Macaca fascicularis: one gene and its partners. The protein of the gene in region 1 interacts with the protein of each later gene in a pairwise test. Links are inferred from orthologs where the notes say so. Each region holds a gene or a part of one and is shown in the gene's direction. Other genes may lie near its edges. The genes, in order: HTT, YWHAB, JAKMIP1, UTP14A, AP2A2, MAGEB18 and ERCC6L.

Region 1 (3,861 bases):
GCGTGTTTAAAAATATATATTTTTTTATTTTCTTATAAATCTTAAATGTATCAACACTTAAGATGTATTTGATATGTGGAATCCATTCATATTTTGGATTAAACAATTCTGTCAAGACCGTGGCAGTGATAGAGGATTTTTTTTTCCCACTGAACTATCACAAAATTGGAAAAAGAGTAATTGGAGAACCCCACTGGCTTGGCCAGCTCGAAGCCCGGGAGGGGGCAGGCAGTGCTGTGGATGGGAGCGTCGCAGTACCACGCTGCCCCTCCTGCCCATGGATCTCTGAGGCCTGCCTTTGTCCTTTGACCCTTGGCCATTTGTTAGTGTCTCTGAGAGCTGGACTGCTGTACCCCTACTTCCCCAGGGGGGCCTGACTTCACACAGCCTCTGCTGCAGTGCGTGGTTGGAGGTGACGGCCTTGGTAAATCCAGTTTCCTGCCTCCTCAATTATTTGTGCTCATACACTGTATATTTTTTAGTGAGGTTTATATTTGAGATGTGTTTTCTCCTTCTTACGCTTTCTGGCCTTTCTATGGATTAATACCTGGTCTCTTCTTGTGTACTTGAAAGTGAATCTCTCATCATATTTTTCCTTAGTGTCAGAACCTCCATGACTCCGAGCACTTAACGTGGCTCATTGTAAATCACATTCAAGATCTGATCAGCCTTTCCCACGAGCCTCCAGTACAGGACTTCATCAGTGCTGTTCATCGGAACTCCGCTGCCAGCGGCCTCTTCATCCAGGCAATTCAGTCTCGTTGTGAAAACCTTTCAACTGTACGTTTTCATCCTGCCAACAATTGCCAGTTGCAGTTTTCTCTGCCTTAAAAATGGAGTATTGAAATTTTTAACATTAATTTCTGATTGGCAAAATAGTCATCTTTTGTTCTTTTCCTTCTCGCTGTTAGCCAACCACTCTGAAGAAAACTCTTCAGTGCTTGGAGGGGATCCATCTCAGCCAGTCGGGAGCTGTGCTCACGTTGTATGTGGACAGGCTGCTGTGCACCCCTTTCCGTGTGCTGGCTCGCATGGTCGACATCCTTGCTTGTCGCCGGGTAGAAATGCTTCTGGCTGCAAATTTACAGGTATTGGGAAAAGAAACCCTGATATTGATTTATATTGAAAATTTAGCAGGCCAAGCAAAACAGGTGGCTGCCTTTTTCCTCCATAGGTGTGGTCTTGACACGGTCACCAATAGAAACATGGAAATATCTGCAAACTTGCCATTCCTCGTGTGTCTGATCTGTTTCTTGAACTTTTTTCTAGTCTGTCCTTACTAGGATGAACTGTACACATCAGTTTATCCTTTTTAAATGAGCATGAGGTTATTTTGGGTTGTTCAGTGTCACAAACACACTAATGTGTTTTTGTCTATTAGAGCAGCATGGCCCAGTTGCCAATGGAAGAACTCAACAGAATCCAGGAATACCTTCAGAGCAGCGGGCTCGCTCAGAGGTAATGCTGGAAACACAGGTCATCCTTGTGTTAGGAGAACCCAGGATATAAAAGATATAGATTTGTGCGGGAATAAATTCACAGGACAAGAAATTGATGTGCGTTATAGGTGGGTTTACTGCAGAAGTGCCATAATAGAAAGCTTCCTACTTTTAAAACAACCAGATCTCACTTTATATGGAGTAAAGGACAACCAGCAGGATCACGTCTATGACATGAGTGGAGGCAGTTTGCACTCCTGTTGGCTGTTTGAGAGGTAGTATTTAGAATGCCTGTATTCAGTGTCCTGTGATGAGTGGGAAAATAGGTTATCAGCTTTATCTTAGCAAAATCAAAGCATATCATCTAATTGCTAAACAAGAGTTGGCAAATCTGAAAGACATTACTGAATCCTTGGCATGCAGGACTTACATCTGCATCCCGTTGCCATTTTTTCTCTTCAAAGCATTTAATCACTTAGTTGTGTTTGCAAAGTCTTTTAGAAGCCTTTATCAGAAATCCTTACATCTCCTATGTGAGTGTATTTCCATGACTGCAAAATAAGTTAAACTTTTACCTTTTTTCTTCCCTTGGTGGGGGCGGAAATTGTGTGTGTGAAAGGGAAAGAGAGACAGCAGAGAAGGAGAATATAATTATCATGCTGTGTCCTTTGAGCTGAAATTGCAAAAAAGAAAACACACACACACATGCTTTGATTTCAGTCTTAAGAGTACCTTGTTGATGGTGTTTTTAAATGGGATTGGGCACAATTAGGTGGACAGTTTGGGGCGATTTTTCGGTCTGTAGGGCCAAGCTGTTTTGTAATTTGCATTATAAAGTTGTCACTCTCATAGCATATGGTGGCAGATAAACTATTATTACTTTTTGACCCTAGACTTAGTCTTCAGTCCAGATGAGGGAGATTAAAAGATTATAAATATCTTGTGCCAGATGAGGTGATTTTATTTTGAAATGACCATAAATTCCTATCAGTTGTCTTACTGGGATATTTTGATAGTGGAGTTTGTGCATTTGAGTCTTAGATGATCTGTTTTACGTTTATTAAGAAAGCCTTTATTAGCTTTTATACCATGTATGGACTGTTGCAATGTTTGAGTATAAATGAAATTTCTGGACAATATTAATGGAGTACAAACTGTGATACCTTAGAAGTAAACTAGGGCCTGCGTTTATATCATGACCTGTTTGAGTGTTGATGAGAAAATAGCTGCGAAGAAAAAGTTTTAAACAAGTTTCATTTTCCTTTAAGAAGCCACTAATAGTGCATCCTTAGGGTGTATATTTCTAGAATCCTAGTGTGCAGAGTTTAGACTAAGACTAAAAAAAAAATTGCACTGTAATTTCATTTTTGTTTGTATTTTAGACACCAGAGGCTCTATTCCCTGCTGGACAGGTTTCGTCTCTCCACCATGCAAGACTCACTTAGTCCCTCTCCCCCAGTCTCTTCCCACCCGCTGGACGGGGACGGGCACGTGTCACTGGAAACAGTGAGTCCGGACAAAGTAAGTGTCCAGCGTGTCTGCATGCGGGGCACAGGGCAGAGTGCCTCTGTCACCTGTGGCAGATACAGAGAGTGCAGAGGAGGTGCGGTGGACCCAAGGAGTGCTGGCGCTCTGCTCGGCTCAATGAAGCCGTGGTTAGAGACCTGGGGGGACCATCAATGTCCGAGGGAGCAAAGCAGTGCTGATGTGGGACCCTTTCGGTAGGAGTGCGAGGTGAGTCGTTAGTGGGTGACTCAAGGGAAAGTCAATTGTGGCCTGCAGGCCCCTGACTGCACAGGCCTTCAAGCACATGTCAGTGCATTTAGCCTCCCTCCATCGCCTCATACCTTCTGGCCACCTGTGAGTTGCACCGCCACTGCCAGCCATACTGGTATGTTGTCAGCACCTCCACTGCTCATACCTCACCGTTAGGGACCACTTGGGGCCTTGGTAGAGCCTTGGTACTCTACTTTCCTGGAGAGAGTTCAGCTTATGAATATGAATTTAGATTTCAAAAACCAGCAGCCCAAGTATAAGAAAGCGAAGGTTCAGTCCTGCCGCCTTAGGCTCTATTTGCTAAGCATCTGCCCTGCCCTGCCCTGGTTGCTGGGAAGAGATGAGCAAAGCAGACAGCCCAGGAGAGGATGGCAAAGGGGCCGCTAACCCTTAGTAGTTTAGCTATATTTGGAAGGACTATTAGAAGTTCACCAGGTGAAGGGGGAGGCCGTGAGAGTACCCAGGTAGGTAACAGAAGTCCAAAGGGGAAGACCTGTGGTGTGGTGAGCTGTATAGCCACAACATGCCGGCCGGCGGCCCTCTCAGTTAGCCTAGTGCAGTGTTCCCAAGCACTGGCCTAGGCCTGTAGCTCCAGGGATGTGAAGTGCCCTTGAACGCCACCCATCATGTTCCCCTTATTCATCTT
Region 2 (4,635 bases), on another chromosome or scaffold:
AACTGCTTAGAAATACTGGAGATGGCATATTGGGAAGGTAAGGAATCATCCAATTGAATTGTGGTATTTACGATGGGGGAGAAATAGCAGCTAAAGGATAAGGGCAGCTTTTGGAGAACGCTGATTGTCTCAAGGAACTTACATATTGTCATCTAGGTCTGAGTGCACACTAAATAATTTAAGCAAGAACAGGACACGATTAGAATGGTATTTTTAAAAAGATCACTTGGCAGTTGACGGGCGAGGCTGAGAGTAAAACAGTGAATTAGAAGTCTGTCATTTAGCTAAGTAAGGGTAAAGGCAAGACGGCAAAGGCCTATTTACTTGGCTCTTTCTCCTACCCGACTGCAAACTCCAAGACAGCAGGGCCCCATCTGCCTTGTTCATTGCTGTGTCTCCAGCACTAAGCAAAAAGTCTGTTCCACATTTGTTGAAAGAATAAATGAACAGGAGAGAGGGAAGGCGAGAGGCATTTTGAAGGACTGAGTTTAAAAATCAACTACCTTGAAGCCGGGCAAGGTGGCTCATGCCTGTAACTGTAATCCCAGCACTTCGAGAGGCTGAGGCGGGTGGATCACCTGAGGTCAGGAGTTTGAGACCAGCCTTGCCAATACGGCGAAGCCCCGTGTCTACTAAAAATACAAAAATGAACCGGGAGTGGTGGCATGCCCCTGTTATCCCAGCAACTCAGGAGGCTGAGGCAGGAGAATTGCTTGAACCTGGGAGGCACAGACTGCAGTGAGCCAAGACTGTGACACTACCTGGGCGACAGAGAGAGACTCTGTCTCAAAAACAGAAAACAAAACAAAACAAAATCAACTACCTTGAGAGGAGTAGAATGTCGGTAATTGTGAGAGCAGTCATGAGGGGAGGGGAGCCATGGAAGCCTGTTTCCTTCCCTGAACTTCCTCAAGGAGGGGGCATCTTAAAGACGGAATCATCTACACAGATTTTTGTGGGGTTTTCTTGGAGACAGGGTCTCACTCTGTCGCCCAGGTTGGAGTGCAGTGTCATGACCATAGCTCACTGCAGCCTACAACTCCTGGCCTCAAGCAATCCTCTCACCTCAGCTTCCAAAAGTGCTGAGACTACAGGCGCGAGCCACCGCGCTCGGCCCTACACAGGTTTTTGAAAAAGACCTTTGTGCGTTGGATTCCTGGCACTTCCAAGTGGCCTCTTCAGTCTACCAAAGAAGGAAAAAGTAAGTACTCCGAAGGATTGAAAGGAGGATTAAGGGAACATTGAGGGATGAGCAATTTCTGTTCTTCCCTACCTCCACTATTCCCAAAGCACACAGCAAGAGGACTGACATCGGCTTCCGACACCGTGAGGATTACTTTCTGGGTGGAGGGGGGACTGCTAAACCTCGAGTCTCCGTACCTGGCCCTGGCGCGTTTCCAGTCTGAGCAGAAAAGGAAACCCCCACCCAGACCTCACTCCTAGTCCTCCGGGTGCCTTTACAGCCCGTATCTTGACCACCCCCAGCTCCGCCCTCTCTCCTCCCACCTCCTTTTCCCGCTCCCCCGCCCCATTTCCTTCTTCTCCGCCCACCTCCTCCTGGGTCCCTCCCCCGGCCATGCGCCCTGCCCCGGCCGCGGCAACCCTGCCCTTCGTTCTTCTTCCTCCTCCCTTCCGTCAGCGCCCCTCCCGTGGGGCCGCGGCAACCCCGTGCCTCGCTTGCCCAATGAGAACACGGCGTGGGGCGGGGCGCGGCCAGGACCGGAGCGGAAGTGGTGACCGGAGCGGAAGTGGAGCTGCCGCCACCGCCGCCGCCGATTCCGGAGCCGGGGTAGTCGCCGCCGCTGCAGCCACTGCAGGCACCGCTTCCGCTGCCTGAGGAGTGGACTTGGGAAGGAAGAGGTCATCTCGCTTGGAGCTTCGCTCGGAAGGGTCTTTGTTCCCTGCAGCCCTCCCACGGTGAGTGCGGCGCGGGGTCCGACCGGGGCCCCCGGGGGCCCAAATTCGAAGCCCCTCTTTGGCAGCTGCGACGACGGCGGCCCAGCGGGTGGGCCCCGGGGGATAGCGGTGCGCTGCCTCTTCCGCTTCGCGCGGCCGCCGGCGGCGAGGCCAGGCCTCGCAGCGGCCCCTCCCTGTTTCCGGGGCCGGGCCCTTTACCTCTTGGAGAGGCCCGGGCCTCCCTCGCCGCCTAAGGTCCTGCCGGCCGGGCGGGGTGCAACTCTGTGCTGCACCGTGAGGGACAGCGGAGCCGAGGGTCCCGGACTCTCCCTCACTATCTGATTCGGTCCCTCACGCGACCCCTCCCTGCGTCTTGGTCGGCAAGAACCGTCCTCTTCAGCCCAGTCACCTCTGCTCCGTGCTTTCCGGTTTCCAGAAATTAAAATTTAATCAAACGCGGGTGAGTTTTCTAGCCCCAGTCCCCCTGTTTGACTCCTCCTGGATGAGTAAGGGGTTTAACCTTGGGAGACAGCAGTGGGGGAACCCCCTCCCATTTTGCAGTAAAACCATTTCATCATCCTTAACTGGTTATGGAGCCTGGCAGGACCCAAGATTCCCTAGGAAGGGAATTGGGTTTGAATCAAGGAAATGTGTTTGTTGGAGCCGGTTACTGAGTCAGGCCGGATCCCCAGGAAAAAATATCGGGATGAGAATCGGAATATTTTCCCACAGTATTTACCGTCATTTAATGCCAAATTCTTTTGTGTCTTTACCCCAAATTCCCCCTATTGTGTGTTAGCACGTTTTTCGGTCTGAAATTTGCCCGGTGGCTTCCTGGTCGGGGGGTGGGGAGCGGAGGGAAGAAGAGGTGGGAAGGTGAGTGCATCTTTGCCGCAAATGGAGAACTCCCATATAATGAGGTTTCCAGAGGTGGCAGCCTTGGTAAGCAATTTGCCAACCTTTCTGTGAAATGCATGTCTCTTGTCGTTGCCTTCATTGCATTTCTCTTTGGTAAGGCTAGATAGCATCAGGTCCTGATTTTGCTTACCCTGTGTGGGAGATGGAATTTGGCAAGATGATGCTATGAACATAAAATCAGCCTGCCACGGAAGCCAAAACAGAAAGGTGAAGCACTTATAAGAATATGAAAATTGTCTGCATTTCTCATTCTGTCAGTTCATATGAAGCCAGACACAGATGCAGTTTATGGAGCTGGACCCTGCAGCTTTTGCATTTTCATGTTGGAAATTTATATAAGTATTTGTTCTTGGTGAATTTCTTCTTGACTGCTTCCATGGTACCCTATTTCTTACTTAGGGATATCTCATTTGTTTGAGCCCTCATTTTTCTTGGATTCCTGTCCTTGGCAACACGAAGTGTATGAGTGTACAACCTGTCAATCTTATTGGACCTGAGTTAGAAATTTAAGTGTGGCTTTCAAAATGGAAGGCAAATAATCCTGTAGCAACTGCAGAATTATTTTCCTAGCCTGCCCCTCCAATGAGATAAGAAACCATTCACCTATCTTGCAGATGAAGTCTTTATGAGAAATGAGGTGATTTGGCCTAGACTCTACACCTAGTTTTTTTCAAATTGAATATCCTCATTCATCAGTAGCAAATATGGATTGCCAGCCCCTGGAGTATGACTCCTACCCTATAATCTTTTGTACATTTCCCGTCTTGCAGTGCTTGCTATATTGAAGCCATTTTAGAATTGGAGCACTATAGATCAGGGAGGCAGCCTGTATAAAACCAGGCTGAGCAAATTCCCACGATGCTGGTTCTCTAGGCAGAGTCTCCAGAGATTTGGGCCTCTACAAAAAGTGCATTTTGCCCATTTGGCTGTGGATAGAGAAGCAGGAAGAGCACTGGACTTGGAGTCAGGTAAATTTGGTTGAAATCTTGCCTGCAATATTTTCTAGCTTTCTGAATCTTCAGCATGTTAGTCTATGGTTCTTAGTTTTCTTATCTCCAGGGTTATCATTAAGCCTTTTTTATAAACTGTAAATTGTTAAATAGAAGCTTTTGGTTTTTTAATTAGAGTTCACTATTAATGGCTTTTTCTCTCCAGTTAACATCTGATGACACTAAACCCTGCTTTGTACACAAGTTGCTTTCAAAAAATGGTATATTATTATGGGACTTTATTTTGCATGTAGGCAAATCTAGTCTTTCTGAATCATTTTCTCATCTATATAGCGCAAATGGTAATGCAGCTTTGGATAATTTTTGTTGTGACAAGCTCAATGAAAATAAGCATCTGGGATATAGTTGGGGTTCAATAGATGTTTAACCATCTGCATGAATATACACGTGTATAGATTAGACATAGCATATGTGCTATTCATGGACATCTATATAGAATCCATCCATTTGTGATTTATCTGATGAGGTGGTATCAATTAGTCTATAATAATAATTACCACTTACAGTACTTACTGTGTGCTAAGCTTTCTTTTAAGCACTTTAAGCATATTAGCTCAGTCTTCATAACAACCAATGAAAGGTAAGACTATTAGCCCCATTTTACAGATGAGGAAACTAAGGCACTGAGAAGAATAATTTTCCCGAGGTCTCACACACAGCACAAGGTAAGTGCCAGAACCAGGAATGAAACCAGATGATCTGGTTGTAAGGAATGATATTATAGATTTCTACGTGTGGTAGAGACAGCACATGTATATGTTTTGTGTGAACACCATTTAGTCCTTAATTTTTCTTCACACCAATCCTAATA
Region 3 (4,315 bases), about 3.5 Mb from region 1:
ACTTCCTCCTCTTCTGAGGTTACGCATGGTCATGTGACCTGCTCTGGCCAATGAAACGTGAGCAGAAGAGATGAGCGTCCCTTGGGAGGGAAGCTTTCAAAGCCAGCATAATTGTCACCTTTCATTCATGCTGCTGCACCATGTGGGTGCTCGGCTGGGAGCCACCACTCCGATGAACAGAGCCCCACTGACAGAGGAAGGATGTACCATGTAGCAAGACACACCAGGGAGATTTGGGTTTGGTTGTTACTGTGGCTAACACAGCTTATCCTGACTGGTGCAGTTTAAAAAATATCAATCTGACCATAGTCCATGGGACCACCTTCCAGGCGAGACAGTCTCCAAACTCTGCCCAGCCTGCAAGACCTTGCAAGCGCTGCCCCTCTGTGCCCCCACGCCCCATCTTCCACACTCTCCCTCTCATCATTCTGTGGCCCAGACACTTTTATCAGATTCTCAAACATGTCCCGTTCCCTGCAGTCAGGGTGTTCCCCCACGCTGCTCCCTTTGCTGGGTGCTCTTCCCTCCCTTCTCCTTGCTAGAAAGTAAGCTCTGGTGGGCGCCTCTTCCTCTCTGCTGTTCACTATGGTGTCCCCACATCTTCTTGACTGCCTGGCACACAGTAGGTGCTCAATAAATATTTGTCTAATGACACTGAATGAATGTTTGCCCAGCTGAGTCCTGCCCCTCCCAAGTCTCAGCTCGACAGCACATCGTTCATTTGGCTATGACCTGGTGATGTGGCTTTGCTGGGGGCAGCCTGGGCTGGTGGGGGCAGCTCCCTAGGCTGGCATATGTCCAGTTCTGCCCCTTGCTGGCTCTGCCGACTTTAGCGTGCGCTTTAACCTCTGACCTTCAGACCTCTCATCCGTACAGAGGGGGACATGGATCTCCGGGGTCGCTGCGTCTTCCTGACCACTGACGGCCAGGACGGCCCCAGCCCCGCTTTACCTGCAAGCTCCACGCCAGGCTCGAGCCCCCGAGGGTAGGGACAGCTTCCCGAGGCCCGAGCCTTGACCAGAGCCTGAAAGCTCCTCCCGGGGGTTGCTCCGACTCAGCGAGGCGCCAGGGTGCCCGGCGCGGCTGAGGGCGCTCAGCGCCGGGACCCCAGCCCCGCCCGGGCCGGCCGCTGGCCTAGTGCGCACGCTCCGGCAGCTCCGCGCCCCCTCTCGCGGCTGCAGAAGCTCTCCCAGAGTCTGCCTGGGGCGGGGGCGGGGGCGGGGAGGGGCGGGCGCCTCGCCCTCCTGCCTGACTGGCAGGAAGACAGACCAATCGGACGGGCTCCCTAGGGAGGGGCGGGGCCGTGCCGGAGCCGGGCGCCGGCGACCAAGGGAGCTGCAGCCACCCGCGTGCGGCACGCGCCGGCCGCCTGCCCCTATCGCGGCCACCAGTGCCGCGGCCTCTCGACTCCCGCCCCGCCGAGCCGCGCGCGCGACTGCCATCCTCCTCAATTGCTTTTTACGATTTTTTGTGCATGCATTCATTTTCTGTTCCGTTTTGTCCTTTTTAAGGCGGTGGCGGCGGCGACACCGGCGTAAGCTCGCAGCGGGGAGGGGGCGGCCGGAGGATGCGGCGCGGGGCTGCGCTCGCTACGCCCGCTGCTGCTGCCCGGCTCGGGCCTGAGCGCCGAGCAGGTGGGTACAGGTGCGCCGGGGGGCGGGAGGAGAGGCGCGCGCAGGCCAGAGAGAACCCGTGGACCCGGCGACCGAGGGGCGGACCCGGCGGCGAGGGACGCGGCGACCGGTGCCGCCCCGCCCCATCGTCCATCTCCCCGTCCTCCGGTCATCGCGCCCCCTTCGGGTCCCCCTTCCACTCTCGCATCCCACCTCAGCGTTCCCCCACCCTTCCGTACCCATCCCCCACTCCTCTTCAGACCCCCTTGCAAAATCTCCCAGCCGCTGCGTCGCTTCCCCCAACACCCCCTCCCGGTTCCGCCCCCAGCCCCCAGCTCTCCTTCACGCCACCCCTATTTCCACTCCTCTCCGGATTCCGCCCCCAAGCCAAGGAGCGGGAGGGGGGACCCACCCGGTGCCTGCCGGAGTGGCCTGGGGGGTGTGGCCGGCCGGTCCCCTCGGTGTCTTCCGCAGGGTAGGTCGTAGTCCCCCAGATCCCCGCCCAGGTGGCAAAGAAGATGGAGCTGGGGGCCGCGCCCCGGCGGCGGGGGGCCCGCGGGCGAGGCCGCCCAGCCTGCACCCCACCCCACGCACGGCACACGCCGCCGCGGCCCCTGCCACGCACACCCTCGCGCTGCTCCGCCCACGTGGGCGCCGGGGAGGAGGCTGGAGAGATGGGAAGAAAGGCTGGCACCCACCCTCCTGCCGGCCCAGCGCGCCCTGGGCGCGCTGGGCTCGGAGATGGCGCGCAAGGATTGACTCCGGTGGTGCCAGACACCTTGCCGGGCGCCGTGCGTCGGGGCCAGCGGCCTCGGTGGCCTACGTCAGTGCGCGCGCGGCGGCCTCGCCTCCCAGCTCCTCGGTCCTTCGCTCCATCCCCCCTGCTGTGGGCTCCTGAGGATCCGGCCAGGGCAGCCCAGATAGAGGCCGCTTACGAGGCTGGCTCTTCTTTTCGCCTTAGAAGCATCCCGCTCCCACACACCCCAGCTCGCCGGTCTCCTGAAGGCTGGGCCAACCTCGGCTCTCCGCCAGCCTCTGCCCGGCTCTCTGAGCTCCAGCGATACTGTATCTAACCGCCAGCCCTCCTCCGCCGCTCGCCCCATCTGCGCACACTCGCAGGCACACTGTCCTTGGCCTTTGCCCGTGTTGTGCTCTCTCCGGGAACGCCCTAACTTCGGCTGGCCAGCTCCTTGTAGACCAAGGTCAGGGAGATCCCCTTGCCCCTCCTGAGCTTTCCTGGACCGCGGAGCTGTCCCAGGATGCTGTTACCATCTGACGGCCTCTGCCTTCCAGAGCAGAGGAGGAGGTGGGGAGGAGGACAGGGGCAGCCTCAGCCCCTCTCCCAGGGCTCCACCCACAGTGAATGTTGGGCATAGCAGGGACATCTCCCCTAAGTCAAAGCAACCCGCTGGTGTGGAGGGCGAGGCCATGGGAGGAGTTGGCCCTTCCTCTAGCAACCTGGGCTTGTGGGTGGTGGCTCCAATAGCTGGGATGGGCAAGGAGGAGGGACACATTCGAGGATGGAGTGGGGGGATTAGGATCCTTTCCTAGCAGGGCACTGTCACCCTCCTGGAGATCTGCGGGTCTGCAGAGACTGATGTTGCGGCGCACAGTGGAGGTTTGTGGCTTGTTGCAAGATTTTTGTTGCTGAGATATGTACCGGTTTGTAATGCTGAACATCTCCGCTCTGGAGTCTGGGGTAATTCTTACCTGGAGTCTTTTTGCAGTAAGCCGCTCCCAAAGGATCACAGTGTGGACCCAATGCATGAGATGACTGGCATTTTCTTCCTTCACAAACCACCTATGACTCCCACTGCCCCCACTACCTCACCAGTTCCTTCCATCCTGACTTCCCTGGCCCATCTCTCCCCTCTTCCTGCCACGATGTCTCAGCCACGCCTGCTGCCTCTGTGTTGTGTAGACATGTCTTCACACTTGGGTTTTTCCCCACATGCTTTTTTTTCACCCCCCTCTCTAAAACAATGCTCCCCTCCCTTGTGTATCTGGAGAACGATTCATGATAAAGTCCAGCTCTTAGGTTCCATCACTGTGATTTTCCAAGACTCTACCGGAAAGATTGTGTGGTTCTCTCATTGTGTTCTCAGAACTTTTCATACACGTCCAGTGTGATATTTGTTTGTATAGTTTTTCCTTAAGCAGATCTTGCCCACTAGAGACTGGGGACACGGGACACGGGACACAGTGAGGTCACCTGAGAGATGGTCCCACTTTGGTCGGGGCTCTGTTTTCCTAGGGAGATGGCCACACAGACACTGCCCGTGCTGTCAGAGAGCCATGTGCAGGGAGAGGGGGACAGGCCCCTGCCTTGGCCCAGCCAGGAAGGCTGCCTGAGGAAGTGGCAGGACCGTGGCCCCACTCTCTTGGTGTGTAATGGTGGACTGGGCTGTGGGACAAGTGGCAGAGGGAACAATTTCTAGTCCATAAGGCAGCAGCAGTTGCCACTGCAGGCTGTGGCTCTCTGTTTAACTCCTCGAGGGTGGGACCTTGCATCTCTTCAGGCTCTGAGCCAGACTGCCAGGGTTCCCATTCAGGCCCTGCCTCACTTAGCTGGGATTGGGCAAGTGCCTCCCTGCTGGGCTTTCTAACTAAATGGGGGCTTCCCTTGGGGAGTCTGAGGATGACTGCGGTTTGTCCCAGTTCTCCTGGGTCACTCCTCTCCCCATAGTGGCAATGGGATCAAC
Region 4 (4,499 bases), on another chromosome or scaffold:
AAACAAATTAGCTGGGCGTGGTGGCTCACGCCTGTAATCCCAGCACTTTGGGAGGCCAAGGTGGGATCATCTGAGGTCAGGAGTTCGAGACCAGCCTGACCAACATGCTGAAACCCCGTCTCTGCTAAAAAATAAAAAAATTAGCCAGGCGTGGTGGTGCACGCCTGTAATTCCAGCTACTCGGGAGGCTGAGGCAGGAGAATCGCTTGAACCCGGGAGGCGGAGGTTTCAGTGAGCCGAGATTGTGCCACTGCACTCCAGCCTTGGCAACAAGAGCAAAACTCTGGGAAAGGAAGGAAGGAAGGAAGGAAGGAAGGAAGGAAGGAAGGAAGGAAGGAAGGAAGGAAGGAAGGGAGGGAGGGAGGGAGGGAGGGAGGGAGGGAGGGAGGGAGGGAACAGACAGTTATTAAATACCACACAAAGTTCTAGGAACCCAAAGACTGAGAGGTATCCATTTTATTTAGCAACTTTGGGTGTCGCTGATCTTGTCCAGAGCAATTTCTGTGGAATAATGGGGCAAAAGCAAAAATGGGAATGGATTAAAAGAATGAAAAGAATGTTCTTGTCTATTATTTTTCTACAATCATCATATATATATATATACACACACATATATTAGGCAGGGCCCAGTGGCTCACGCCTGTCATCCCAGCACTTTGCGAGGCCGAGGCGGGCGAATCACTTGAGGCCAGGAGTTCCAGACCAGCCTTGCCAACATAGCAAAATGCCATCTCTACTAAAAATGCAAATATTAGCCGAGCATGGTGGCAGGCGCCAGTAATCCTAGCTACTCCGGAGGCTTAGGCAGGAGAATCGCTTGAACCTGGGAGGCAGAGGTTGCAGTGAGCCGAGATCACGCCATTGCACTCCAGCCTGAGCGACACAGCAAGGCTCTGTCTCAAAAATAAATAAATTCTTAAAAGTTGATGGGAGAAAAAAAGTTGTTTAAAATAATTTTTTTAAAGTTGATAGGAGGTGAGGAAGCGTAGCTACTGACGGCCCATTCTTGGATAAAATATTTTGACTCAGGAAATGAAGAACAGAGCTGCAATTACAAGGGATCAAAAGATATTTTTCCTTAAATGGAAGGAAACTTGTTTTGTTCACCATCGGATCTCCGGGGCCCGGCACAATCTGGCCACTTAATGGGCATTCAATAAACCCCCGAGCTGGCTGGTGGCCGGCTTGCAGGACGCTGTCGCACAAGGACGGGCGCTGGAGTCTTTCCTTCTGGATTATGTAGGGACGAATGAAGGCGCGGGCTCAGTCCCTGACAGCGCAGTACCTTCGCCCTAAGCTAACCCACCCTGGGCCGCGTGGAAACCAGGGACCAGGAGGACAGACACCGGCGCACCAGAGAAATACGGGGTGGGTGGAGAAAAGAAAGCCCCACCCGCTGACAGCCGTTTCATCTCCAGCCTCGCCGTTTTACGCAGTCCCCTCCCTACACGGCTCCTGCTTCTCACACGCCTAGTACGCAACGGAACTGACGTGTACGTCGCGAGCGATTGACGGAAACAGAAATTGCTTTGCGGCCGGCACGGAAATTGCTTTCCTTCGGCTTCCGTTCTTGGTCCATGTGAGAGAAGCTGGCTGCTGAAATGACTGCGAACCGGCTTGCAGAGAGGTGAAGGGCAACGAGGGGAGTGGGGATTCTGGGTCTCGTTGGGGGCCGGGTTCCCCAGCTTTTGGGAAATGGGCGCCCCCTTTTAACAGATGGCAGTGGTTCCCCTCAAGAGCTGGCCACTTGTTCCTGTTTTCCGCGATCCAGCCTTTAAAGCCCTTTTAATTTCATTCACTTACTCCGCTCCTCAGCTGTATAGCCGCATCCCTGTTGGTCCTGATGCTGTTTCTGCCTCCCCAGCTCATTTACTATGTTTCACATTCCTCGTCACGTGACCCCTTTTTCTGCCTCTGCCGCGGCCCGATTTAATCCTCTGCGCAGGCAGTGCAGGCGTTATAAACTCCCCGAATCTTCGAAAGCTTTGCTGACTGGAGTCATCGCCACGTTTTGGCTCCTATGATGTTTTGTGCCTCCCCTCCCCGCCCCCGGAACTAAATGTAGTCCGTTTAGGAATGTTGGCTTTGCAAATACTAATAATATATGCTGTTAAGTAACGGTAAATTTTGTAATTTGTGGGTACCAGTCTCCCTAGTTAAGCACCTACTTTGCTAAGCAGGCCCCAGGGAAAATGGCTTACTCAGCTGCTTTCGACCTGTTTCTCCATTCCTGGGAACAAGTGATCAAGATGACACTTTTTTTTTTTTTTTTTTTTTTTTTTTTTTTTTTTTGAGACGGAGTCTCGCTCTGTCGCCCAGGCTGGGGTGCAGTGGCCAGATCTCAGCTCACTGCAAGCTCCGCCTCCCGGGTTTGCGCCATTCTCCTGCCTCAGCCTCCCGAGTAGCTGGGACTACAGGCGCCGCCACCTCGCCCGGCTAGTTTTTTGTACTTTTTAGTAGAGACGGGGTTTCACCGTGTTAGCCAGGATGGTCTTGATCTCCTGACCTCGTGATCCGCCCGTCTCGGCCTCCCAAAGTGCTGGGATTACAGGCTTGAGCCACCGCGCCCGGCCAAGATGACACTTTTGATCAGGCTGCCTTTTGATCAGGCTGCCTATCAAAGAGTCAAACATGTGGAGGATGCTTAGAAATATTAATCGTGAAACTGCCTTGCCTCCAGGGCTAGCAACAGCGTCTTTGGCCATATTATTCTAGGGTCTGACATTTTTACAGCTTCCCATAGGTCATAGGAAATGTTGTGCCAATCACTGAAAAGTGTTAGCTCTTTTACATGCAGTTTTGAGTCAGGCATCATTCCTGGAGGTGATGCCTGACATCAGTCTAAATTTCACGTCTTGACAAGTTTTCAAAGGCGTTCATGCTGCTTTATATATCTTCTGAGGGATAGGGCTATTCTGTGTTGAAGTTACAATGTTTACGAGATTGTTTTAATAGATTAGACATTGCTTCAAATAACAATATTTCTCTATTAAATTTCAACTTTTATTATAATTAAGGGATACATATACAGGTTTGTTACATGGGTATATTGCATTCACATTTCTTTGTTGCCTCTTTTAACAGCCTTCTGGCTTTGAGCCAACAGGAAGAACTAGTAGATTTGCCAAAAGACTACCTCTTGAGTGGGAGTGAAGATGAGGTGGGTGACAATTGCTAAACTGCCTTCAAAATTAGGGTAGAGAGCACATTCCTGGAATGGAAAGGTGTGACAATATTCTATGTATTTGTTCAGGTCTCTCAAATTAATTACAAATGGTTAGTGTTTCATATATAAGTTACTGTATCATATTAAGTGCTATAAGGATTTGGAAACTAAGTTACACTCACTACCCGCAAGTTGCATAAGTATAATTTATAAAACCAACGAAAACAGGCCCGGCTGGTGGCTCACGCCTGTAATCCCAGCACTTTGGGAGGCTAAGGCAGGGAGATAACCTGAGGTCAGGAGTTCAAGACCAGCCTGGCCAACACGGCAAAACCCTGTGTCTACTAAAAATACAAAAATTAGCTGGGTGTGGTGGTGTGTGCCTATAATCCCAGCTACTATTGAACCCAGGAGGTGGAGGTTGCAGTAAGCCAAGATCAAGCCACTGCACTCCAGTCTGGGCAATAGAGCAAGACTCCGTCTCAAAAAAAAAAAAAAAAAAGACTGAAACACATGGTCCTCATATGATATGATTTCCCAAGTTTGGATTTCTATAGAGCGTTATTTAATTATCTGACTGAAATATGCATATGTATTTTAAGCTGGATCTCCAACAGATGCTATAAGAATTCCAATTCTTTATTTCCCTTACAAAAAAACACTTTTTTTTTCCCTTGGGTTGGGGGCACACAACACATCTATTTTAATAACAAGGAGGGTGTTTTTTTTTGTCTATTTTTTTCTGCTTGTCGTGTTCTTCGTAGGAAAAGCCAACTTAACTTGGAGGCCGGGTGTGGTGACTCACACCTGTAATCCCAGCACTTTGGGAGGCCAAGGCGGGTGGATGACTGGAGGCCAGGAGTTCAAGACCAGTCTGGCCAACATGGTGAAACCCCGTCTTTACTAAAAATACAAAAATTAGTTGGGTGTGGTGGCACTCGCCTGTAATCCTAGCTATTCCAGTGGCTGGGGCAAGAGAATCACTTCCAGGAGGTGGAGGTTGCAGTGAGCTGAGATCACACCACTGCACTCCTTCCTGGGCAACAGAGCGAGACTCTGTCTCAAAGAAAAAAAAGCCAACTTTGTAACTGGCTATGACTTACACTATATGTCAGGGTTTCCATGTTAGATCATACTATATATTTTATACAGAAACACCATTTTAAGCCCTTTTTGTCTAGAAGCAAGTTAGGACAGACACATGACATTAGCTCCCTTTTAGTTTGAGCTGGAATGCTTGCACACCAGACCTCTTCCAATTCCCCAGTTCTCTACTGACCAAAAGAACAAGAGATTTGGCCGGGCGTGGTGGCTCACGCCTGTAATCTCAACA
Region 5 (3,861 bases), on another chromosome or scaffold:
CTGTGGAGGGGGGTGCGCAGGTGCAGCAGGTGGTCAACATAGAGTGCGTGTCTGACTTCACGGAGGCGCCAGTCCTCAACATTCAGTTCAGGTAAGAGCCATCTGTGCGCCCCGGGCCAAAGATTGTGTGGGCGCCTGAGCTGTGTGCCTGGGCTCCATGACTGTGCCCCCATGTCCTTCCTGAGGGGACCCAGGGCATGTGGGTACTCATGGTGCATGGATGCGACCTGAGCTGTTGCTGCCCTCAGCTCTGCAGAGCGCAGGAAACAAGGGGAGGTGAAGCCCTGGGCTGTGGGATGGCAGGTGGCAGCTCCCACATGGGGCCTTGCTAGGATCTTTCTGGGCACAACGGGGCCTACCTCATGGGGTAGCAGACAGCCAGGGCCACATGCCACCTGCCCGGCTTGGTACCAGACAACCGCTGCGAGGTGAAGGCAGCTGGCTTCCTTCGGACCCTGGCCTGAGGGGTGTGTTTTTTGCACAGTTGGACTCAGATCATACCACTTTGCTTATTTTTTAAAAGCAGGAGATTTTCCTGTTGCAACTGTTGCTTACTCTCACTTTTCAGTGGCTACAATAGCGTGTACACGGTCAGCGCGTACCCTGCTGGGTGTCTGCAAGGTTATGAATGTTGAGAAAAGCACACTTTCTAACATTAAAAATACAGAGAACTTAAGGATTGTATACCGTAGAATTTGGGGACATAGACATGCAAATTTTTGTTTCATTCTTTGTGCAAATGCCTTTGCCTTTTTAAAGAAAAAAAAAATCACACTATTTGCACAGACTTGGAGTTCTGAGAAACAGATAGATGGGGAGAAGTGAGGCACAGGGGCGTCCTGCCTGTGTACGCGGCCCTGGCCTATCCTGTCTGTGGGTGACACTGTACACTGAGCCACACATGATCTGAGACTCAAGGCTCGGCTCCCCACGCTCTGGTGGGTGGCGGTAGGTGGGGACGCTTCTCACTCCAGGCTCTTTTCCGGCCCCTGGGGCTCTCAGAGGAGGAGCTGACTGTCCCTCGGCTCTTTCCTGGCCCCTGGGGCTCTCAGAGGAGGAGCTGACTGTCCCTCGGCTCTTTCCTGGCCCCTGGGGCTCTCAGAGGAGGAGCTGACTGTCCCTCGGCTCTTTCCTGGCCCCTGGGGCTCTCAGAGGAGGAGCTGACTGTCCCTCGGCTCTTTCCTGGCCCCTGGGGCTCTCAGAGGAGGAGCTGACTGTCCCTCGGCTCTTTCCTGGCCCCTGGGGCTCTCAGAGGAGGAGCTGACTGTCTCTTTCTGCTGCTGCTGGCAGGTATGGCGGCACCTTCCAGAACGTGTCTGTGCAGCTGCCCATCACTCTCAACAAATTCTTCCAGCCGACAGAAATGGCTTCTCAGGATTTCTTTCAACGTTGGAAGCAGTTGAGCAAGTGAGAAACCTGTTGTCCTGTAGGGGTCGGGGGTGGGGATGGGGGTCATTTGAACAGATGGGCTTTGGTCTCTGGCCTGGCTGAGAAACTCGCCTTTGCTGTTTCTCACAGTCCACAGCAGGAGGTGCAGAACATCTTCAAAGCAAAGCACCCAATGGACACAGAAGTCACCAAAGCCAAGGTAGGGCATCTGGAGGGACGGCCCCGGGGACACGCTGCCTGCAACCCAGCGCCAGGGTCTGGAGGGACGGCCCCGGGGGACGCGCTGTCCGTGACCCAGCGCCAGGGTCTGGAGGGATGGCCCCGGGGGACCTGCTGCTCAAGACCCAGCACCAGGGTCTGGAGGGACGGCCCTGGGGACACGCTCCCCGCCACCCAGTGCCAGGATCTGGAGGGGTGGCCCCGGGGGACATGCTGCCCGCAACCCAGCGCCGGGGTCTGGAGGGATGGCCCTGGACGTGCTGCCTGTGACCCCGCTCCAGGATCATCATTCTCCTGTTTCTTTGAACAGATCATTGGATTTGGTTCTGCACTTCTTGAAGAAGTTGATCCTAATCCTGCAAATTTCGTGGGAGCTGGAATCATCCACACGAAAACCACCCAGATCGGATGCCTGCTACGCCTGGAGCCGAACCTGCAAGCCCAGGTCAGGCCCTCAGGAAATGGCTGAACACACTTGAGTTGCTTTTTATTCTGGCACAATGTACATGGTGAGATGTGTAGCTCTTTAGAGCAGTTTGGTCAGTTTTGATAGATGTTGTGTGCCCGTTTAACCACCACCCTGTCAATACATGGTTGCATCCCAGTCTCCCCACAGCTGGCCACCTGGAGCATTGTCCCGCCACAGAGCATCCTGGCCCTGGGCGATGGCTCTCCCAGCTGTTCCTCTCTGTCACCGCGTTGTTCCTTCTCGCCACGTCCCATTCTGTCGACAGACACCTGTCTCCGTTTCACTCGGGCGGCACCCGGGAATGCCGCTGCTGCCCAGGGCCTGTGTGTGGTTAGCGCTACAAGAAGCTGTGCCACTTCACACTCCCGCCAGCTACGTACGAGGTGCCAGGCGCTCCCGTGCCAGCCCTCAGTTTTCATGCTGACAGTGTGTGTGGTGCTCAGGCCTCTGCCGAGCTGTGGGTGCCTCCAGAGAGCGGTCCCTGGGCGTGGCCCACAGGGTTCTGCATGGCGGGTCCTGGACCCGAGGGCTGTGTGAGCCTTGGCATGCCCGCTGACCCGCTGCGCTCTCCGTTTCAGATGTACCGGCTCACGCTGCGGACGAGTAAGGAAGCCGTTTCTCAGAGATTATGTGAATTGCTGTCCGCGCAGTTTTAGTCTTGAGGATGGAAGACCAGGCCCGTGTGTCTTGCGTTGTCTTCGTCTGTGCTGTTTGTCTTCGTGGCCGTCCTGCAGATGAGCACCCCCGCTGCCCCAGACCTCTCCCCTTTGGGCTGGACAGGAACACACGTGTGTGGCTCAGGAAGAAAAGCTCAGCCTGGACTGCGGCAGCCGCGGCAGAAGGTGGATCTTGGGATCAGTTTTTATAAAAATCAAGACAGTTCTGTGGTTCAATCTACAAATTAAAGGGAAATTAGAAGTTGGCGTGAACGTGGCGTTTGTGGGAGTGTCACTGAGATGGCCCGTGCTGCCGCCCACCCCGCCTCGGAGCCTCTGGGAGCAGCAGTGCCGCCGCGTGTGGCGTGGGCTGAGCCTTGGTGTGTGGCTGTTCTGGTGGCTGCACACCTGGCATCGTCCTGGGCCCTTGGGAGGAGCACGGCCGCCCCTGGTTTTGCTGCAGTCCCAGCTGGACAGTTTTCCCAGGCAGGATTTTAATCTGGACTTCAGAAGCATTTGTATTTGTGATGACTTCTGGCCAGACCACGTGTCCTGGCTGGATGTAATTATTTTCCCAGCTCCTGTTCGTGGAGGGTGTCTGTTTTGCTCCTGCAGTCCCCGAGGCCTTAGATGTGCAGCCAGGGAAGGAGCGTCCTGCTGGCCCCGCGGGGCCCCCAGGACTCCGGGGTAAAGCGTGGGCTGGTGGCTCAGACTCAGGTGTGCTCGTCTCTCTCCTGTCAAGAGTGGGTGTCCCCAGGCCACGGTGCAGGCTTGAATGCTTCCACTGGCCCCGTCCAGTCATCCCTGGAGGGGCTGTGGAGGAGGGAAGCCTTTGTGTCGTCAGGAAGTGAAGGGGCCATGGGCCACACACTGTGTGCCACCTGCGGCTTGTGTCTCGCCTGTCGTCTGGACTCAGCACCCAGGCTGCACGTCTGACACCTGAGAGGCGAGAGAGTGGGGCTGGCCTAGGAGCCGAGGCTGGGGCCCTGTGCTCTGTCCCCAGGACGGTGGCCTTGTTTGTCCTAAACACACCCAGCATGGGTTCCGGCTTCCTGACGTGCTGTGGAGGCAGGGAGGGTGGGTGGCCACATGTGCTTGAGCCTGGCCCTCAGCCACCTGCTCCACGGG
Region 6 (4,327 bases), on another chromosome or scaffold:
TATATATCATGGAATACTATGCAGCCATAAAAAAGATGATACCCTTTTCAGGAACATGGATGGGACTGGAGGCCATTATTCTTGGCAAACTAACATAAAAACAGAAAACCAAATACCACATGTTCTCACTTATAAGTGGGAGCTAAATGATGGGAACACATGGACACATATAGGGGAACAATAGACACTGGGGCCTTTTAGAAAGTGGAAGGTGGGAGGAAGGAGAGGGTCAGGAAAAATAACTAATAGGTACTAGGCTTAATACCTGGGTGATAAAATAATCTGTACAACAAACCCCCATGACACGAGTTTACCTATATAACAAACCTGCACATATACTTCTGTACTTAAAATAAAGGTTAAAAAAAAGAAGCCTCAAGGAATCTTATAAAAAACATTTGTGCTACCTCAAGGCTTTAAGTCACTGAAATTCACTGTGAACTGGATTAGGATCTTACGGGAGGGGCGGAAGTAAAGCTTTTCAGAAATCCAAACCTGACTCAGCCAGTGTAGTAGAAACAAAACAAAAGTAATATACAAAGCATTAAATTGAAAGTCATGGTTTCAAATAAGGAAAGATCCTAGCTACTCCAGATTTTCTCTAAGAAGTTCTTTTCTGGATTCCTTTTAGTGCCTGAATGAAAGATCCTTTGATGCTTTTGTCATCCTCATTTTTCTCCTAATGTACCGTCCTGAAAACAATCTATTTCAACAAATTTGAGAGGGCTTTAAAAATAAAAAAAAAAGTGTAATGAAAAATATACCATTCAAAAGAGCAGCAACATTCAAAATGTACCTAAAAAGAACATTAACAAAAACATACACTCTATCAAAGCAAATATAAAAGTTTACTGATAGACTCAGATGGATGCCTAAGTAGAGCAATACAATATATTTATACGTGGTGAACATAATATTGTACAGATGTCAATTATCTTTATTTACAGATTTAGTACCTTATTTGATGGCCTCAAGTCAGCAGAGAAGTGGCCCTGTACCTATAAAAAGTCACGATAAGACACTGAGTGAGGACTGAGGGCGTTACCTACCCAAGAAGAGGGACCCCCACAGACCCCGCCCCTACTGTCAATCTTGGGAGGCCCCAGGCATGGCTGCTAGGCTCACGCTCCACTTTACTTCCTACTCTGAACTCAGGGAAATGATCCTTTTTCTGAGGCTGACTGATTCAGCTTAGCAAAGAGAGAAGTCCCAGTGCCTGCAAAGTCAGTGAAAGAAATATATGTATTTCTTTAAGAACTGCCCCTCCCCCAGAACACAGAACCATTTGCTGTTATGCTGGGAGAGCAAGGTGGGCGTGGCCGGAAGTGTTTCTCTTGACCTATATTCCACGTCATCAAGCTGTTACGGGCGAAGCCTTGGTCTGAAAGATGTGGCCAGAGAAATAAATTTCAGGATCCGGCAGGTGTCAAAGTGAGTATCGTTTGTTATGACCTTCGAGACACACTTTTCCCAGAACAGAGGCGGCCTCATAGAGACCCATCCTTCTCTGCTCTGTCCTGCTCCCACCGTCAACTGTGTGTGTCCCAAAGCGCAGCTGTTAGGCCTAATACCCTTACTTCCTGTTGGGAATCTGTGGGATGGGAAGCCATGGTCTAAAGCGAGGCAGCCTCAAGTCAACAGAGGGAGGACTCAAAGGACTAAAGTAAAATTAATATCCTGAGTTAGAACTGATGTGATAAACCCCCACAGAACAGTCCCAGCCTGCTCCTGCCTTATGGGTTCCTAAAGCAATACCCTCAAGAGAACCAGCAGAGGTGGCCATTCTTAGACCAAGGTAGAATCTCCCTACCAAGGCTGTGAACACTATCTTATCCTCCGTCTTCTAGGGTGACCTCTTCATCAACCCAACTGCCTGCACTATTGTCTGTAGTCCCTGACAAGAGTAATTATGCCTCGAGGTCAGAAAAGTAAGCTCCGTGCCCGTGAGAAACGCCACCAGGCTCGTTGTGAGAATCAGGATCTGGGTGCTACTCAGGCCCCTGTGGCAGAAGGAGAGTCGTCCTCCTCTGCCAATCTTCTCTTTGGTGATAGACCCCAGAATTTGCCTGCTGCTGAGACACTTAGCATCCCTGAGGCGCTTCAGGGAGCCCCATCCACCACCAATACTATTGCACCTGTTTCATGCACCAGTTCAAATGAAGGTGCCAGCAACCAAGACGAGAAAAGTCTAGGTTCCTCAAGGGAAGCTGAGGGCTGGCAAGAAGATCCCTTAAGCAAGAAAGTAGTGTCGCTGGTGCATTTCTTGCTTCAGAAGTATGAAAAGAAAGAGCCAATTACAAAGGGAGATATGATAAAGTTTGTTATCAGAAAGGATAAGGGTCACTTCAATGAGATCCTCAAGAGAGCCTCTGAGCACATAGAGCTGGCATTTGGTGTTGATTTGAAGGAAGTGGATCCCATCAGGCACTACTATGCCTTTTTCAGCAAACTAGACCTCACCTATGATGAAACAACCAGTGATGAAGAAAAAATTCCCAAGACTGGCCTCCTGATGATTGCACTGGGTGTGATCTTCATGAATGGCAACCGTGCCCCAGAAGAGGCAGTTTGGGAAATTATGAATGTGATGGGTGTATATGCTGATAGGAAGCACTTCCTCTATGGGGATCCCAGGAAGGTCATGACCAAAGATTTGGTGCAGCTAAAGTACCTGGAGTACCAGCAAGTGCCCGACAGTGATCCTCCACGCTATGAATTCCTGTGGGGTCCAAGAGCTCACGCTGAAACTAGCAAGATGAAAGTCCTGGAGTTTGTAGCCAAGATGCATGATACCGTCCCTAGTGCCTTCCCATCCTGCTATGAAGAAGCTTTGAGGGATGAGGAACAGAGAGCCCAAGCCAGAGTTGCAGCCAGGGCTCATACTGCTGCCATGGCAAATGCACGTTCCAGAACCACGTCTAGCAGCTTCTCCCATGCTAAGTGAAATCTGAGGTTGGTTCTTCACTTTTTGGTCGAAAAGGTCTGTCAACATTCTAATAGTGGAGGGCCATGGTGGGGCTGGAAGAAATAAGCGTATATCATCTTTGCGTTCCTATTGTATATTGATAAGTAGAGTTTTACTTTTCCTTCTTTTTTTTTTTCCCTAGGTTACATTTCAAATGTTGAAGTCTGAAGAAGATTGTTTTCTTTGTGGAAGAAAAAAGCAATCAACATTCTAAGTAGTGAATGGCCAGGGTGGGTCTGGAGGGAACACAGCATATATCATGTTGTGTTAATATTCTATAGTAACTTGGAGTTGTATCTTTTTCTTTCTTTTTTTTTTTGGTGTTATATTTCAAATGTTGTTTCTTTTAATAGAAGTTTTAGATTACTTCAGAATCGAAATTTATTAATGACTTTGGTTACACATGTATTGCTATTTAAGAGTAGGAGTTTTATTGTTCTGTAAAACAAATTGGGAAACCTTCTTTCATATTTAATGAGCCAAAACAAGGAAACACAGTATTGGAATAGGTATTTCCTTAAAAAATGTGAAATGATTTAGCAGTAAAATTTTGGAGATCAAAACATAGGTGAGAAAAAGTAATACTTTTTAGTTCTTGGTTTTCTTTATCCATTTTATTCTGTTATATAAAGATAAAAGAGTCATACCTGGATTGGCTTAGCTTACTGAAGAAGGTAGGAAAAAATAAAATGTTTATGAACTAGCATCTATGCTTACTGCCTCATTCATTCCTCCAATATTAATAAAACATCTGATCTTTGAAAGTAATTTTGTTAGAAATGGGAAAACTAGGATACAAAACACCCAGCCCTGCTTAGACTTTTACAATTAATGAACAATAATAATGCATGGAAGATGGTGAAATACTTCTAAGACCTAAAGTACAAGTAAGAAGAGGGAGTAAGGAGGTAAGGAGTTAGAGAGGGGTTTGGGAAAAGTGCTGGAGTGTATCTGGCTGAAAATGGTAAGGTGCAAATTCTCTGAAGAAAGGCCCTTTTAGACTTTTGGAAACTATGAGTCTCTCAGTGGGATATACTTTTAATTTAAGCTGGGTGGTGAGCTACATGAAGCTGTGGGACTGGAGAGCAGAGGCCAGGCACTCAGATGGTGTGTCTCATTGTTGAAGGACAAAACCCTGGAGTGGAAACCTCCACTTAAGAGTTACCTTGGTGACATCAATAAAGCAGAAGAAAACCTCTTGGAGCAGAAGTGGATAGTGTCCTGTGCTCTTGTTCACATTCAGTTGAACACATAGCATAATCTAGTTATTTTATGTACAGCCTCCCCAGGGAATTTTTGAGAAATAATGGTGAAACTGCCTTGATGTGCGATGCTGAAAAGCTACTGTGTTGGCTCCTTTGC
Region 7 (4,452 bases), on another chromosome or scaffold:
TAAGCTCTAGGCTCCGCCTTTTTTTAGGCTCTGCCTTTGAAAATGACTGTATCTTAGTTGGTGCTTCTGAAGAAATGGTGACCACAGCACTACTTCTTTCTTTTTTTTTTTTGAATTATTTTTGTCCTCTTCTTATTACACCAAGTATGTGAACCTAACTACTTATTTCTTAAATAAGAACTTTATTTTCTTTTATTTTTTTGTGAGATGGAGTCTTGCTCTGTCGCCCAGGCTGGAGTGCAGTGGCATGATCTTGGCTCACTGCAGCCTCCACCTCCCGGGTTTGAGATTCTTGAAGACCCTTCTCTCTTTCTCTCTCTCTTTTTAAAAAAATAAATACAGCATAACGCCCTGTGGAGAAGAAAAAAAAATTGAAAAAGAGATGGGGGGGTCTCACTATGTTGCCCAGGCTGGTCTCGAACTCCTGAGTGCAAGTGATCCTCCCACCTTAGCCTCCCCAAAGGCTAGGATTACAGGTGTGAGGCACCGCACCCAGACTTTTTAAAATTTTTTTATTTTTATTTTTGAGACAGAGTCTTGCTTTGCCACCCAGGCTGGAGTGCAGTGGTGCAATCGCGACTCACTGCAACCTCCACCTGCTGGGTCCAAGCGATTCTCGTGCCTCAGCCACCTGACTGGGACTGCGGGCGCCTGCCACCACGCCTGGCTAATTTTTTGTATTTTTAGTAGAGACGGGTTTTCACCATGTTAGCTAGGTTTGTCTTGAACTCCTGACCTCAAATGATCCGCCCGCCCCGGCCTCCCAAAGTGCTGGAATTACAGGCGTGAACCACCGCGCCTTCTTCAATGTGAGTTTAAATCACAGGGACTACGCCTCCCAGGGTGTTTGGATTCAAAGCACGTTCAGTGCCAGGTACTGGCGATCAAGGAAGGGAAGGTATCTCTGGATGTGGGGCAGGGGTTGACTGGGGGATGCAGGCGTTGGAGATCTCCAAGGGTCGCCACAACGACTGGGATCATATCGGGCAGCCTCCTCCACTCACAATGATAGCACACGCATGCGCGAACGAATTGGCCGCAGCATGGTTTGAACTGGGTTGAAACGCAAGGGACTACAGAGTGACGCAGCACACTCCGTGTCTCGAAGGCAGACGTCACTTCCTACCTCCAGGCGCGCGTAGGCGCAGGCGCCTACCCTCATGGGCGGGGCTCAGGCGGTGGCGTCGCAGCGCGTGGTCGCGGATTGGCCGGCCGCGAGGCCGACGGTTGGCTGTGTCCCTCGCCACAGGCGCACAGAGCATGCGCGGGGCGGGAGTGCGCGAAATTCAAGCTCCAAGCTCCCACCGGGGTAACTGGAACCCAGTCCGAGGGTCATGGAGGCGTCCCGTAGGTTTCCGGAAGCCGAGGCCTTGAGCCCAGAGCAGGCTGCTCATTACCTAAGGTATGTCGGGGCCGCTGGGCGGGTCTAGCTAACCGACCTGGCCCAGGGTGGAGGTGGGGGTGGCCCCCAGATCCCCCTGGTGACCCGAACTGTTGAGGCGCAGCCTTTTGAGGCGCGCTCTCGCACTCTTCTCGCAGTAGGGTGTGGGAGTCAGCTCTGGATGTTTGACCAGATTTCTAAAACCTCAGGAGACCCCGATGCCTTTTCTTTTGGGCAGATGACCCTGCAGTATGAGCTCCGTAAGAGCCAGAACCTTAATTAATCAAGCCCTTATTGATTCTTTTCAGCTTATCAAGCCCCAAGCCTAGGGGATACAGAGATGAGTAAAACAAGGTCCCCGCCCCCAAGTTGTTTGTAATCTAGTGGTGGAAACGGATTTGTAAAGCAATAATTACTAGGTTTGATAAGTGTTGTAAGAGGTATAATGTATGTGCAGGGCATAGTGTTGGCATAAAAGAGGGGATGGCCAACTACAAGGGTGGTCAGCTAAGGGATGGCATGGCAAGAGGAGACATTTGAGCTAGGCGTTGAAAAATAAGTTAGCATTCACCAGTTGGCTAAGGGTGGGGGGCGTGGTAATGTTGGGATGAGCATTTAAATTTTTTCTTAAATTGTGGTAAAGTACGCATAACATAAAATTTATCTTTTTGTGCAGAAACTGGGTTTCATGAAAAATAAAGTTTATCATCTTAATCATTTTTAAATGTACAGTTCGGTAGTGTTGACTACATTCATATTGTTGTGCAACTGTCTGTCATCTCCAGAACTTTTCTTATGTGGCAAAACTGAAACTACTCCCATTAAACAACTCCCCATTTCCCCCTCCCTTCAGCCCCTAGCAACCATTATTCTGTCTCTGTGGATTTTACTGCTTTAATTTTTTTTAGACAGGGTCTTGCTCTGTCGCCTAGACTGGAATTCTGTGGCCTGATCATAGTTCACTGCAGCCTGGAACTCCTGGGCTCAAGCAGTCCTTCTGCCCCAGCCTCCCTAGTAGCTGGGACTTCAGGTGGGTGCCACCATGCCCAGTCAATTTATTATCTTATTATTGTTGTTTTATATGTTTTTTTAGAGACAGGGTCTGGCTCTGTCACCCAGGCTGGAGTGCAGTGGCTCGATCTCTAACTCAGTTCACTGCAACTTCCATCCCCCGGGGCTCAAGGGATCTTCCCACCTCAGCATCTCTAGTAGCTGGGACCACAGGTGCACACCACCACACCCAACTATTTTATTTTATTTTTTTTGAGACAGAGTCTCGCTCTGTCACCCAGGCTGGAGTGCAGTGGCACGATCTCAGCTCACTGCAAGCTCTGCCTCCCGGGTTCACACCATTCTCCTGCCTCAGCCTCCCGAGTAGCAGATACTACAGGTGCCCGCCACCACACCCAGCTAATTTTTTTGTATTTTTAGTAGAGATGGGGTTTCACCGTGTTAGCCAGGATGGTCTCGATCTCCTGACCTCGTGATCCACCTGCCTCGGCCTCCCAAAGTATTTTTTCGTATTTTTAGTAGAGACAGGGTCTTGCCATGTTGTCCAGGCTGGTCTCGAACTCCTGAGTTCAAGCAGTCCTCCTGCCTCAGCCTCCCAAAGGGTTGAGATTACAGACGTGAGCCACCATGCCAGGCCTTTCATTTAGATTTTTCCAATTGTTTGCCGTTTTACTTTTGTTGTAATAGGCAGCCTTTTTGTGAATTTTTGTGCACTTTATAACTGAGTGTACACTTTGGAATTCAGAGTGCTGTATCTTAGGGAATGTGTATTTAAAATTGCTATTCAAGGCCGGGCGCGGTGGCTCAAGCCTGTAATCCCAGCACTTTGGGAGGCCGAGACGGGCGGATCACGAGGTCAGGAGATCAAGACCATCCTGGCTAACACGGTGAAACCCCATCTCTACTAAAAAATACAAAAAAAAACGAGCCGGGCGAGGTGGCGGGCGCCTGTAGTCCCAGCTACTCGGGAGGCTGAGGCAGGAGAATGGCGTGAACCCGGGAGGCGGAGCTTGCAGTGAGCTGAGATCCGGCCACTGCACTCCAGCCTGGGCGACAGAGACAGACTCCCTCTCAAAAAAAAAAAATAAAAAAATAAAATAAAATAAAATTGCTATTCAAGAACACCATGCCAGATTTTAATAAAGTCAATAGTGTGAGTAAGCATTTATTTATATTCTCTCAGGCTGGTGTGTGATGAGCTATATGAGTCAATTCAAAAGTTAAGATACATAGTTTTACTTTTGAAGCTAGGACTTGTAGTATTTTCTTCTACAGATACACTTACATGAGTGGGCAAAGATGTGTGTGCGTGTATATACAGTAAGTCCTCATTTAACATTGTCCATAGGTTCTTGGAAACTGACTTTAAGTGAAATGACATAGCAAAACCAATTTTTTTCTCATCAGTGTTGCAGCAAAATGATATTGAATGAACCAGTGTCATTCAAGGACCTGCTGTGCGTCATTTTGCTTAAAGTTGCAGTTGCCAAGAACTTACTGACCACGTTAACTGAGGACTTACTGTACATGTAAACATATACCAGAGGTGTGTGCCACCAAGCTTGTCTAATTTTTTTTTTTTTTTTTTTTTTGAGACGGAGTCTAGCTCTGTTGCCCAGGCTGGAGTGCAATGGCCGGATCTCAGCTCACTGCAAGCCCCGCCTCCCGGGTTCACGCCATTCTCCTGCCTCAGCCTCCCGAGTAGCTGGGAGTACAGGCGCCCGCCACCTCGCCCAGCTAATTTTTTTTGTATTTTAGTAGAGACGGGGTTTCACCGTGTTAGCCAGGATGGTCTCGATCTCCTGACCTGGTGATGCGCCCGTCTCGGCCTCCCAAAGTGCTGGGATTAAAGGCTTGAGCCACCGCGCCCGGCCACTTGTCTAATTTTTAAAAGATTTCTGTAGTCTGGGCACAGTGGCTCATGCCTGTAATCACTTTGGGAGGGCGAGGTGGGTGGATCACAAGGTCAGGAGTTCAAGACCAGTCTGGCCAACATGGTGAAGCCCCGTCTCTACTAAAAATACAAAAATTAGTCAGGCGTGGTGGCAGGCACCTGTAAT

What was found.
Region 2: the proteins of HTT (region 1) and YWHAB interact in binary tests that used the Homo sapiens proteins (3 or more experiments, as listed by UniProt). The link is inferred for Macaca fascicularis from reciprocal best matches to the Homo sapiens genes HTT and YWHAB.
Region 3: the proteins of HTT (region 1) and JAKMIP1 interact in binary tests that used the Homo sapiens proteins (3 or more experiments, as listed by UniProt). The link is inferred for Macaca fascicularis from reciprocal best matches to the Homo sapiens genes HTT and JAKMIP1.
Region 4: the proteins of HTT (region 1) and UTP14A interact in binary tests that used the Homo sapiens proteins (3 or more experiments, as listed by UniProt). The link is inferred for Macaca fascicularis from reciprocal best matches to the Homo sapiens genes HTT and UTP14A.
Region 5: the proteins of HTT (region 1) and AP2A2 interact in a two-hybrid assay, tested with the Homo sapiens proteins (2 studies listed by BioGRID and IntAct). The link is inferred for Macaca fascicularis from reciprocal best matches to the Homo sapiens genes HTT and AP2A2.
Region 6: the proteins of HTT (region 1) and MAGEB18 interact in binary tests that used the Homo sapiens proteins (3 or more experiments, as listed by UniProt). The link is inferred for Macaca fascicularis from reciprocal best matches to the Homo sapiens genes HTT and MAGEB18.
Region 7: the proteins of HTT (region 1) and ERCC6L interact in binary tests that used the Homo sapiens proteins (3 or more experiments, as listed by UniProt). The link is inferred for Macaca fascicularis from reciprocal best matches to the Homo sapiens genes HTT and ERCC6L.

The regions. Positions count from the first base shown.
Region 1 is NC_088379.1:3,422,475-3,426,335, forward strand, and holds part of HTT (huntingtin), read left to right. Parts: intron 1-600; coding exon 601-780; intron 781-911; coding exon 912-1,088; intron 1,089-1,381; coding exon 1,382-1,458; intron 1,459-2,821; coding exon 2,822-2,960; intron 2,961-3,861.
Region 2 is NC_088384.1:100,980,266-100,984,900, forward strand, and holds the start of YWHAB (14-3-3 protein beta/alpha), read left to right. Parts: upstream 1-1,744; 5' UTR 1,745-1,917; exon of another isoform or gene 1,918-2,356; intron 2,357-3,687; 5' UTR 3,688-3,782; intron 3,783-4,635. UniProt on the Homo sapiens protein: Adapter protein implicated in the regulation of a large spectrum of both general and specialized signaling pathways. Binds to a large number of partners, usually by recognition of a phosphoserine or phosphothreonine motif.
Region 3 is NC_088379.1:6,895,960-6,900,274, forward strand, and holds the start of JAKMIP1 (janus kinase and microtubule-interacting protein 1), read left to right. Parts: upstream 1-1,339; 5' UTR 1,340-1,634; intron 1,635-4,315. UniProt on the Homo sapiens protein: Associates with microtubules and may play a role in the microtubule-dependent transport of the GABA-B receptor. May play a role in JAK1 signaling and regulate microtubule cytoskeleton rearrangements.
Region 4 is NC_088395.1:136,173,202-136,177,700, forward strand, and holds the start of UTP14A (U3 small nucleolar RNA-associated protein 14 homolog A), read left to right. Parts: upstream 1-1,549; 5' UTR 1,550-1,601; coding exon 1,602-1,627; intron 1,628-3,084; coding exon 3,085-3,160; intron 3,161-4,499. UniProt on the Homo sapiens protein: May be required for ribosome biogenesis.
Region 5 is NC_088388.1:914,439-918,299, forward strand, and holds part of AP2A2 (AP-2 complex subunit alpha-2), read left to right. Parts: coding exon 1-91; intron 92-1,290; coding exon 1,291-1,407; intron 1,408-1,518; coding exon 1,519-1,588; intron 1,589-1,918; coding exon 1,919-2,053; intron 2,054-2,655; coding exon 2,656-2,733; 3' UTR 2,734-3,861. UniProt on the Homo sapiens protein: Component of the adaptor protein complex 2 (AP-2). Adaptor protein complexes function in protein transport via transport vesicles in different membrane traffic pathways.
Region 6 is NC_088395.1:26,116,220-26,120,546, forward strand, and holds MAGEB18 (melanoma-associated antigen B18), read left to right. Parts: upstream 1-1,306; 5' UTR 1,307-1,431; intron 1,432-1,847; 5' UTR 1,848-1,909; coding exon 1,910-2,944; 3' UTR 2,945-2,952; intron 2,953-3,107; 3' UTR 3,108-3,671; downstream 3,672-4,327. UniProt on the Homo sapiens protein: May enhance ubiquitin ligase activity of RING-type zinc finger-containing E3 ubiquitin-protein ligases. Proposed to act through recruitment and/or stabilization of the Ubl-conjugating enzyme (E2) at the E3:substrate complex.
Region 7 is NC_088395.1:79,021,917-79,026,368, reverse strand, and holds the start of ERCC6L (DNA excision repair protein ERCC-6-like), read left to right. Parts: upstream 1-1,322; 5' UTR 1,323-1,334; coding exon 1,335-1,402; exon of another isoform or gene 1,403-2,411; intron 2,412-4,452. UniProt on the Homo sapiens protein: DNA helicase that acts as a tension sensor that associates with catenated DNA which is stretched under tension until it is resolved during anaphase. Functions as ATP-dependent DNA translocase. Can promote Holliday junction branch migration (in vitro).